3 linked regions of the Nothobranchius furzeri genome follow. The protein of the gene in region 2 purifies or fractionates together with the protein of the main gene of each other region. This does not show direct contact. Links are inferred from orthologs where the notes say so. Each region holds a gene or a part of one and is shown on either strand. Other genes may lie near its edges.

The links.
Region 1: the proteins of slc6a15 (region 2) and golga5 purify together in Homo sapiens (co-immunoprecipitation; 3 studies listed by BioGRID and IntAct, counting the BioPlex papers as one, with this or other methods). This does not show direct contact. The link is inferred for Nothobranchius furzeri from reciprocal best matches to the Homo sapiens genes SLC6A15 and GOLGA5.
Region 3: the proteins of slc6a15 (region 2) and klhl36 purify together in Homo sapiens (co-immunoprecipitation; 3 studies listed by BioGRID and IntAct, counting the BioPlex papers as one, with this or other methods). This does not show direct contact. The link is inferred for Nothobranchius furzeri from reciprocal best matches to the Homo sapiens genes SLC6A15 and KLHL36.

The regions. Positions count from the first base shown.
Region 1 is NC_091758.1:19,000,568-19,002,787, reverse strand, and holds the end of golga5 (golgin subfamily A member 5), read left to right. Parts: intron 1-142; coding exon 143-271; intron 272-343; coding exon 344-442; intron 443-534; coding exon 535-757; intron 758-839; coding exon 840-939; intron 940-1,017; coding exon 1,018-1,081; intron 1,082-1,157; coding exon 1,158-1,235; 3' UTR 1,236-1,570; downstream 1,571-2,220. UniProt on the Homo sapiens protein: Involved in maintaining Golgi structure. Stimulates the formation of Golgi stacks and ribbons. Involved in intra-Golgi retrograde transport.
Region 2 is NC_091744.1:48,494,632-48,498,288, reverse strand, and holds part of slc6a15 (sodium-dependent neutral amino acid transporter B(0)AT2), read left to right. Parts: intron 1-1,696; coding exon 1,697-1,807; intron 1,808-2,614; coding exon 2,615-2,856; intron 2,857-2,976; coding exon 2,977-3,175; intron 3,176-3,337; coding exon 3,338-3,530; intron 3,531-3,657.
Region 3 is NC_091744.1:86,535,747-86,539,901, reverse strand, and holds the start of klhl36 (kelch-like protein 36), read left to right. Parts: upstream 1-1,340; 5' UTR 1,341-1,473; intron 1,474-3,867; coding exon of another isoform or gene 3,868-3,950; intron 3,951-4,155. Other genes in the region: cotl1 (coactosin-like protein), read right to left, coding at 3,868-3,950.

The sequences.
Region 1 (2,220 bases), on a different chromosome or scaffold from region 2:
TGAAATGGTAGTAATTTATAATCCCTACTTCTTTATGCTGTGGTAAAATATTCAGGTGACTCGGATTAATTCTCTGTCATTAAACATCCAAAACTCCACTGAGATTTGACTTATTCAGTTTTAAAGTCTAATTTCCTCCCAGGATGTGGAGAATCAGGCCCTGGCAGAGACAGAAACTTGGCGGGAGCAGCAGGTGCAGTTACAGGAACAACAGGCCTTACAAAACTGGGCCAAGCAGGAGTTGGAGGCTGAAGTGGAGCGCTACAAACACGTAAGAGACCTATGATCGTGTCTAAATACCACCCTGACAAATGCAACATAATGTCTTAGAATGCTGTTTTAGGAGCTACAGTATCTTGAGGATGAGCAACACCGAGCCAAAAGCACTCTGCAGATCCGCATTAAAGACCGAGAAGATGAAATCCAGAAACTCAGGAATCAGGTGAGCAGCGGCGTCTCGGCATGCTCATTTTAAGATGCTCCACACAAATCAGCTTTGATCATCGATTTCCTGGTTTTTCTTTGCTCCTCCAGCTGACCAATAAAACGATCAGCAGCAGCAGCCAGACAGAGCTGGAGAATCGACTCCACCAGCTGACAGAGACGCTCATCCAGAAGCAGACCATGCTGGAGGCTCTGGGCACAGAGAAAAGCTCCCTGGTCTTTCAGCTGGAGCGTCTGGAGCAACAGCTGAAGAGTGCTCAGGGCGGACAAAGTGGAGGGCCGACCATCAACATGAGCAACCTAGAGGGTCCGGGTAGGAGGAGGAGTTGTTTGGTTCTCTTCAACGTAATTTTGAATAGTTGTTCTTGTATTAAAAGTATTTCACTGACTGCCAGGAGCTCGACAGAGAAACTTGCCTGTGCTCTTCAGTGACCAGGACAGTCGAGGAGTGTATGGCAAAGTACGCAAGGCAGCCAGCACTATCGACCGCTTCAGGTAAGATTATTTCATCGGTGATGTTGGTTTCCTGTTTGTAACCTGCACAGTAGTGAGTGAAATGTGTTTTTCCTGCAGCATAAGACTGGGAATCTTTCTGAGGCGCTACCCTATGGCCAGAGTTTTTGTTATTCTATATATGGTGAGGACTTATTTAGGACATGCGGGTTGTTCAGTTATGTCTTTACCTGTTTGATTTTCTGTTTTGTTTTTTCCAGGCGGTATTGCACCTGTGGGTCATGATTGTTCTTCTGACTTACACACCTGAAATGCACAGTCGTCCTGATGGAAGATAGAAGGCTTAAAATCTGAGTTAGAAATGGTTTTATGGCCTTCAGTGTGAGGAAGCTGCTGGAATCGGGGATGTGGGACCTGACTCTTCCTATTTTGCACAGATATATTATGAACTAAAGACATTTGTTGTGATTTATTCCGCTTCTAACTAAGGATTAAAGGCCGACCGCTGCATTTGGGTTTTTAAAGTGAAGTTATATAAAGTGTTGATCTAAAGCTATATAAAAATCATCTTGCATCTCATATGCACTCGGTTCTCTGTTGTTTTGAGAGATTATGTATGTTCAACACTATGTAAAAAGAAAAAATAAGCTTTTAATAAATAAGTTAGATGATGCGACAGTTAATTTTTTGCCTCTGTTCAGACTTGGATGCTGAGTTAAATCTTTAGAAAATGTTTTGCAATTCAGTTACATAAAGAAGTTGGATAAACAATAAGGGTTTGTATTTCTATGCAAAAATGACTTCACATCGAGTTTCTACACAGTGCATGGTATTTTCTTTAGTAGGGGTGTAGGTGCATTTAATGTGTGTGTGAGAGAGAGAACTAATGCATCAGATACTTAATATATAATAAACTAAGATCACAGAAAAGGGGAAATAAATCAAAGTAGCATCTAAGGATCTATAGATGATCCTCTCTTAACTAAATGCAGATTAGACAAAACAAAACCGATAGTGGTAAGGGAACTCCTTTGGCTCACCTGTAAGGTTTCAAGTTAAATGTTGGATTTCCCTTTAATGAAAGCATCACACCTGTGAAGCATGTTAGTGGTGATATCAGCTTTGGGCTTTCTTTTTCTGCATTTTAAACCAAGAAAAAGTGCTGTCTTTGATTTTATATACATAAATTTTTAAATGAAACTAAAGTTGAAGAAAACATAGGTCATGCTGAGTAAAATACAAGTCTCAACAACCTTTACAAATGTTCAAGCTGTATGTTTTTGTTTAGGCTGATTTAATGCTGTGGAATTCACAGAAATGAAC
Region 2 (3,657 bases):
GATCTTTTTTCAGGCTTCCTGCAATTAGAATTTTTAGGAAACCCACATCTTGATTCTGGGTTTAAAAATGCATTATAATTACTGCGTTACTGACAATTGTACCGAGTAAATATTACCTTTTTCTTTCCCTGTAATGCCTTACATTACCACATTACAGCAAAAAGCAATGCATTACAGTAATTAATTACTTTAGTACCGCGTTACTCCCAACACTGAGTATGAAAAGGGATGAAACGGGTTTGGTTGCTATGGTTACACGCTTTCTTTTGGCTGGCTTAGTTGCCAGGAGTGTGGCAAAGAAGGAGTTGGGAGGGGGCATCTTATTTGGGCACGTGTTGGACCAGATTTCAATAAAATAGCTGAAAATGCTTTGGTGATCATTAAAATAATTTCTTTTTTTTTGCCATGAAAGGATGTTAGAGCTGTTGTGTGTGCTAACATTACATGTTTGTGACCTCTCCTGTACAGAGGGGCTCCCCGAACATGGCCCCCACGAGCAGCACCTGCAGTCTATCTGTTAGCGTTATCGCTGATGGAGCATCAAGCTGCAGTGGCAGACAGACAGGCTGTGTGGCTTTTTCTGACCAAGGCTACAGCTGTGTTGTGTAAGAAAGCACAGCCATGGGAGGGCTGACTCACACCAGCCCTGACGAGAGCTGCAGCTGAGGGGGAAAAGTCTAAAATAAATAAGTTTCAAAAGGAGAGAAAAGCAGTTGAAACACTTGACTTCTCAGCAGCAAATCAGATCTTTATTGCAATTATAACTGATTCAAATTATTGAAATTTTCAACTACACATAAACGCATGAGTGTCCAAGGTTCACTTGCAGTGTAAATATACTCTACCATGATTGTTGCAACATGTTTGTATTATAATTCTGGATGTTTTATTCATAATGTAGACCAAAGTTTAGTTTAGCTTTAAAAACGACATCTTCTTGGGAAAGTTACAAACCAGAGAACACGTTTCCATTTTCTAAACAATGACTACACAGTCCTGTTGGGGTTTCATTCATCTTTAAGGAGACGTTACGCCATCACAGCTACACGGGATGTTTCTGAGTCATCTAATGAGTCAACCACAAATCACCTGTTAGAGTGCAACCACGCCCCGACAGCCGCCGTGGCTGACTCAGGCCTTCAGATCCAACCTCTGAACAAATCCTCTGTGTGTGTGTGTGTGTGTGTGTGTGTGTGGGGGGGGGGGGGGGGGGGGATAATTATTGTAAAGAAAAGTGTTGAAAAAGTACAAAACCCCCATTTTAGAAACTTGAAGCAGAATGTCCCGCTGTAGAAATATACCTTCTATTTGCATTGTTTCTGGTTCAAATCATTTGTTGCACTCACACATTTAATCTCACTGTGGAAGCCCTAACATGGAGGTCGCCACCTGTGTGTGTGTAACGGGCTGATTATAGTTATCAGAACAAAAACATGGTGAACCCAGTATTTAGTCCGTCCCACTTTCCTGTTTATAACCCGACTCTCCATCATTTCAGTGACGTTCAACTGTGAGAGGGTTATGTTTTTACGTTAAGCTTGCCCTAATTACCAGGCTCTTATTGTGAAGGGGTTTTACAGGGTGTTATGTCTCATGCAGGCAGGGCCTATGATGCTGTCAGAATAATAAAGATAGTTACTGTAAACCAGCACCCACTGTGTAAAACTGATGACACCCCCCCCCCCCCCCCCTGCAGGTGATGTACTTCAGCTCCTTGTTTCCATACGTTGTTCTGATCTGTTTCCTGGCTCGGGCGCTGCTCCTGAAGGGCTCCGTGGACGGGATTCGTCACATGTTCACACCCAAGGTAAAGCACATCAGAGGTCAGAGTGAACCCTAACCCGTCAGACTCTGTTCTGTATTACTGCTGTTTTACGTTTGAGTTTTAGTCCTCTACAGCTGGTTTATCTGCTTACATGTAAACCATAAGTAGTTTTTGCTCAATAAACAGAAATATGGGCAAAAATACAGGATTAAAGCTAATCCTAATGAATTAAACATATTGTTAGATTACCATATCAGAGCCGTTTCCTCATCTCCCTGATGGTTTCACCGTTTAACTGCTGGAACTCAAAAGACTACATCTGTAGCTTGATAGGCTGGCTCTCCAGCACCCTCAGCCAATAGCATGACAGGCCACAGAACCGTGTCTCCATGGAAACAGGAGGTACCGCGTCCTTATGTAGCCGGCCAGCAGAAGATACTCCTAGTCAGCAGAGTGCCTGTCGCATGTGTGCTCTCTCAGCTCCTCCAGCGTGCGTGTCCTTAGATTCTCATCTAAACAAGCTGGATTTTATGAAAGCTTCACGTATTTCTGTTAAATTCTTAAATGTGTATTTTTGAAGTTATGTGTTTACCATAAATCAAGGAAAACGCCAGTTCAATGAAAATAATCTACATAATAGTGATGCAGGCTGCGGAGTGAGGGTTTGTGTGTGTGTGTGTGTGTGTGTGTGTGTGTGTGTGTGTGTGTGTGTGTGTGTGTGTGTGTGTGTGTGTGTGTTTGTGTGTGTGTGTGTGTGTATGTGTGTGTGTGTGTGTGTGTGTGTGTGGGCCTGACTTATTTTGACGAGGCACACTGAACCCTAACCCAGTATTCCTGCACTGCTCTCAGCTGGAGATCATGCTGGAGGCCAAAGTGTGGCGAGAGGCGGCCACACAGGTCTTCTTCGCGCTCGGTCTTGGCTTCGGCGGCGTCATCGCCTTTTCCAGCTACAACAAGCGCAACAACAACTGCCACTTTGATGCCGTCTTGGTATCATTCATCAATTTCTTCACCTCCGTGCTGGCCACCCTGGTGGTGTTTGCTGTGCTGGGCTTTAAAGCCAACATCATGACCAGCAAATGCATTTCTCTGTGAGTAGAACGGACAGTGAGCGATCAACCACTCAAGTGTGGTCCAGAGGTCTTTAGGGAAGACCGTCCAAATCCAGAAGTTTGTCTACACGTGTTAAAGACTGTCTCGTTGTCTTTTAGGAACACCAATAAGATTGTGGCTTTGTTGGGGAATGGCATTGAACCGAGCCTCATCCCCCACCACATAAACCTGACTCAGGTCAGTCAGGTCAGCGCTGACGACTACCATCAGATGACCGAGATTCTCAGAGGCGTGAAGGAGAACGAGTACCAGAACCTGGGCCTGGAGCCCTGCAGCATTGAAGCCGAGCTCAATAAGGTAACCCCAAAGAAATATCTGCCCGTGTTTCAGAAGGATCTAAATGTTTTAGTCAGCGTATGAAACTACATCTAGGAAACCTTTCCCATCTCTGGAGGAAGGCTTGTTTCTGCAGCCACCTACTGGTTTGCTGGTTTGTGATTGTTTTCCTTCCTTTAACAGGCGGTCCAAGGCACAGGTCTGGCCTTCATTGCCTTCACAGAAGCCATGACCCACTTCCCCGCCTCGCCCTTCTGGTCGGTCATGTTCTTCCTCATGCTGATCAACCTGGGCCTCGGCAGCATGTTTGGCACCATCGAGGGAATTCTCACGCCGCTGATCGATGCCTTCAAAGTCCGCAAGGAGTTTCTGACGGGTTAGTCTTTGTTCAGCCTTGTACGAATATTGATGTTTAAACAGTCATGCTTCAAACTAAGTTTAAAATGGAAAATATGAACTCTACACCTCTAACTTATTCCCCGAGACGGTCAGAGGACCTTATC
Region 3 (4,155 bases), about 38 Mb from region 2:
GCGTTACAATTAGGGCACAAAAACCAGCACTTATAAACTGTTAATCGGTCACTTTTCGTATTTGGTAACAATACTTTAGGAAACATCCAGTTTTTCCTCTACAGGCCATAACCTCTGCAGATAAACGCTGGTTTTTATGCAGTTTAGATCTGGTGGATTAATCTTCACCATGCTGTATGATCATAATCTGGATTTAAACCCATTCGAGCCAAACCACTGGTGGGACAGTGAACGGTGAAGGCATTTGGCTCCAATCAAAGGTCAGATCCCTGGAACAACAGCTGCAGCCGGCAGCCAAAACACAGTTTGGGGAACAAAAGCAGAAAATCCTCGTTCTCTAATGTTATGATCATCGTGGCTGTTCTCCACCGAGAGATCACACCGGTCTCTAGAAATAAAAAAAAAGAACCCATTCGTTGGACAAAAGCTAACTGTTAGCAGATTTAAAGTAAAACTGTCCGAGCCGAGGCCGGAACATCGACCCGTTACTCGCCGCGCGGCAGCTCTGGGACGTTCTCCAACACTGCAGCTTTTTATTTGTGGCTTCACAGCTGGACGTGCATGTGTGACAAGTCCCTCTGAAACCAGGGCTTCCCTCATCCGTGAGCAGCAAAGTGAGTTCCCAGAAAAAGAAAACGGCGTTTCTCTGCACTGAGCTGAGAAACGTCTCAGCAACCACATCAGCTGGCAGCAGTTCCTGTAGTGGAGTTAGTTGAAAAAGCCCTCGCAGTCAAACTGAAGACCGACGGCTGGAGAGCGTTTCTCGTCTTTGGAGTAACGGGTTTTCTCAGAATATTAACAACAGGTCAGCTATAAATGCATTTACATGATTTACATTCATTAGAACTTAATTGGAGCAATAAATCAACAGAAATGATTATTAGTGATTTAAGGGTCTTCTTGTTGTTTTGTTTAGATTAGAACAGTCCTTCTGAAGGACGAAAAGCTCGACTTTTCTCCATCGGTGTTGACATTCCCGGCAGGTGAGGTGTTTTCAGACCAGTCACCTATCAGCAGTAGCAGGAACTAAAGGCTCTCATCGGTCACAGCGGATCAGTGGAGTCACCAGACTGGCTCACGGTCCGTTAGTCGGTGACTGTAACTAATTGCTCAATGCACTCAGATTTTCCTTGTGTTGCAACGGTTTCAGGTGCTGGAGAGGAACAGGAACAGTCAGGAATCCTCTCGCCAACCTAGAGCTCGCCACACCCCCCTTACTTCCTGCCTCTGCCAGACTCTTCCTGGTTTAGCTTCCTGCTAAGTTTGTGCCGATTCTGCAGACAACCTGCTAGCTTCTGCAGGGAAACCCGCACTGAAACAACTGTGATGAGATGGCAAAAAGGAAAGGCACTGGTATGCATGAGTCGACTTCCTGTCAGGTGACCAAAGGTTGTCTGAGTGGCACGGTCTTCCTCTGGACGCTCCCTCTGAGGCAGACTGGAAACCAGAGCCGTCTCCTGCGGACGGTGTCAGGTTGGTAAAACGAGGAGAGTCAACTTTATCCAAACTTGGTCCTTTTTCTTCTCTAACTACACTTCGGTTGGGTGATAAACCCTAATGAGATTATACATATCAGGTTCAGCTAAAGCTACATTTCACCCAAACCTGCTGGATGTTTAAGAGTCTGCAGAGGAAGAACGCGCGTCCTGGTTCACTTTGTGACATCGTAAACACAACAGAAGCCACCATGAACAGTGGCGTAACATTTCACATTAATCTGTTCAATAGATATGCTGATTCTGTCTTTTTAAACCAAAGAAAATACCCGTTTAAAACCAACGTTTAGTCCTCACCGGTTTGTCTCTCTGCACACAAACATGCTTAAAGGGGCATTATGGAAGTGTGACAGCCAAAACATGTATAGAAATAATAAATGTCTTCTTCATACATTCTCCTGCAATGCCCTGGTCCTGTAGAATGAGCCCTGGCATTTTTACTGTGATTGCCTGTTTTTCTGTAAAATCACAGAAAAAGAGAGATGCTCGGGTCGAGCAGGCTGCTTCATGCGCGTTCACGCTCAGGCATCGCCCGTAGCATTTGCTATCCGTAGCTTTAGCAGCAGAGAGAGAGGCAGTGCCACTTTGTCGCTGTTCCTAACGCCTAGTGACAAAGCTAGCTACATTTCTGAGGACCCTTAGCTACTTTCTGTAGAACTTTCTTCTAGATATTTCCTGCTAATTAGCAACAAAACAGCCATTTTCACTCCGAACCGTTCTTTGGTTTGACGTTGTTTCAGCTGTCATCAAGGATATAAATATTACAGATACAAAGGATGTCACTGGTGCTTTAGCTCACCTAGTAAAACGTCAGACTTTCGTGCAGTGGATCTGGGTTCGATTCTGGATGTGAACATCGTTCATTTAGAGTTTATTTTTTACATTAGTGGTATATTTTTTACAGTAAGATGCCCAAATTTTTATTTGAGACTCGCCGAACGGCGTTGAATTCACAGATAAAAAAGATGTGGGTTCAACTTTCATTTTGGAACAATTTTTCAAGCAAGGGAAGGGAATGATCTGAGCATGCAGGAGGACTGACCCATCATAAACCTTTGTCGGCTGTGCTGAAGAGAAAGATACAGAACCACATTATTTAATTAATTAGCTGCACGTTCTCCTGTCCTCTGTCCTCTGGGCCACACACACACACACACACACACACACACACACACACACACACACACACACACACACACACACACACACACACACACACACACACACACACACACACACACACACACACACACACACACACACACACACACACACACAGAACTGTCTCAGCTGTTATTTTCGTTAAGGAGTGTGCACGTACAGCATGCGCGCCTCGTGCACGAGTCTACTATTGAAGCTGCCGTCACGCTTTTGGCCTGAGGGGGCGATCACGAGCATAAAAATTCAAAACTCCGTAAAGTCCCTTTAAACTAAACTTACGAGGATTTATTCTCTGGGGATCGGTTTGAGAAGAAAAGCTATTCAAAAGCTGCTGACAAGCAGAAACATGGTTTTGTGGTGGCGACGAAGAAAATCACAAGATTTACAGAAGACATAACGGCCCATCCTTCAGGAAATGGGTTTTGCTGACTACCAAAAACCAAACAGAAGGCTTTAGAAATCATTTTTATTGTAAGGTGATGAATTTAACTATGGAAAATGCATTCATGAGGATTGAAGCAGCAAATATTTTAGACATTTTGGTAGCATGACGAATGATGAAGCTGCTTCTTGACTTAACCATTTAAAAGTTGGGTTAAACCTCTTAAGATGAGATATTTAGAACAAAATGAAAGCATAACTTATTTTATATTAAATCTCTTTATCTGAAAGTTGCGTCCGTTCCTCCTGCACGCAGTAGCTACGCTGCTAAATAAGGAAAACAAGCCTAAAGCTGTGTGTCATCATCGAACAGGAACCAACAGCAAAGCCGGCAGCCGAGCCATGCACAATGCATTCAGATAGTTATTTCTACAAAAATGTGAGTATTAAAAAATAAATCAGGAAGAAGAAAGAAAAAAAACATGAGCAAAGCCCCAAGAGTGATGGCGTTATAGATAATCTGAGCTAAACCCCGCCCAGCTCAACAGACGCTTCTCTCTCATCAAGGGAACTTCCTTCTGAGTTTTCATATTTGCTCACAAGATTTTAGTTCTCTGTAGGCAAACGTCAGTTTAAAAAAGGAGAAAAAGTTCAACAAACTGGAAAAAAATGTTCCCATTTGATGTCAAAATCTAAATTTCTGACTTGAACAGACGCCATAGGACAGATTCTGAGGTACACCCTGTGGTTAAAAGCTTTGACAGCATCACAGGATTGCGTCATTCCTCAGCAGAGACCACATCATCATCACATTAAAGACCACAACTACCTTTGCACAGCTTCTTGAACTCCTCATAATCAGTCCCCGTTGCTGCTGGCACGATCATGGAGCCCTCATACACGAACGCAGCCCTGCAGGACAAAACACAGCTTTATAGTTTCCACATCTCAGTCACTAAAGGTCGCAATCAAGGCGCAGAAAATGCTCCAGACGTGTGTGTGTGTGTGTGTGTGTGTGTGTATGGACGTAATTTTCACTTTAGAAGTGGGGGGGGGGGGGGACACGGGGGTCTTTACAGTATGTTCTAATGGGAAACAGGCTTCAACACAAACGATT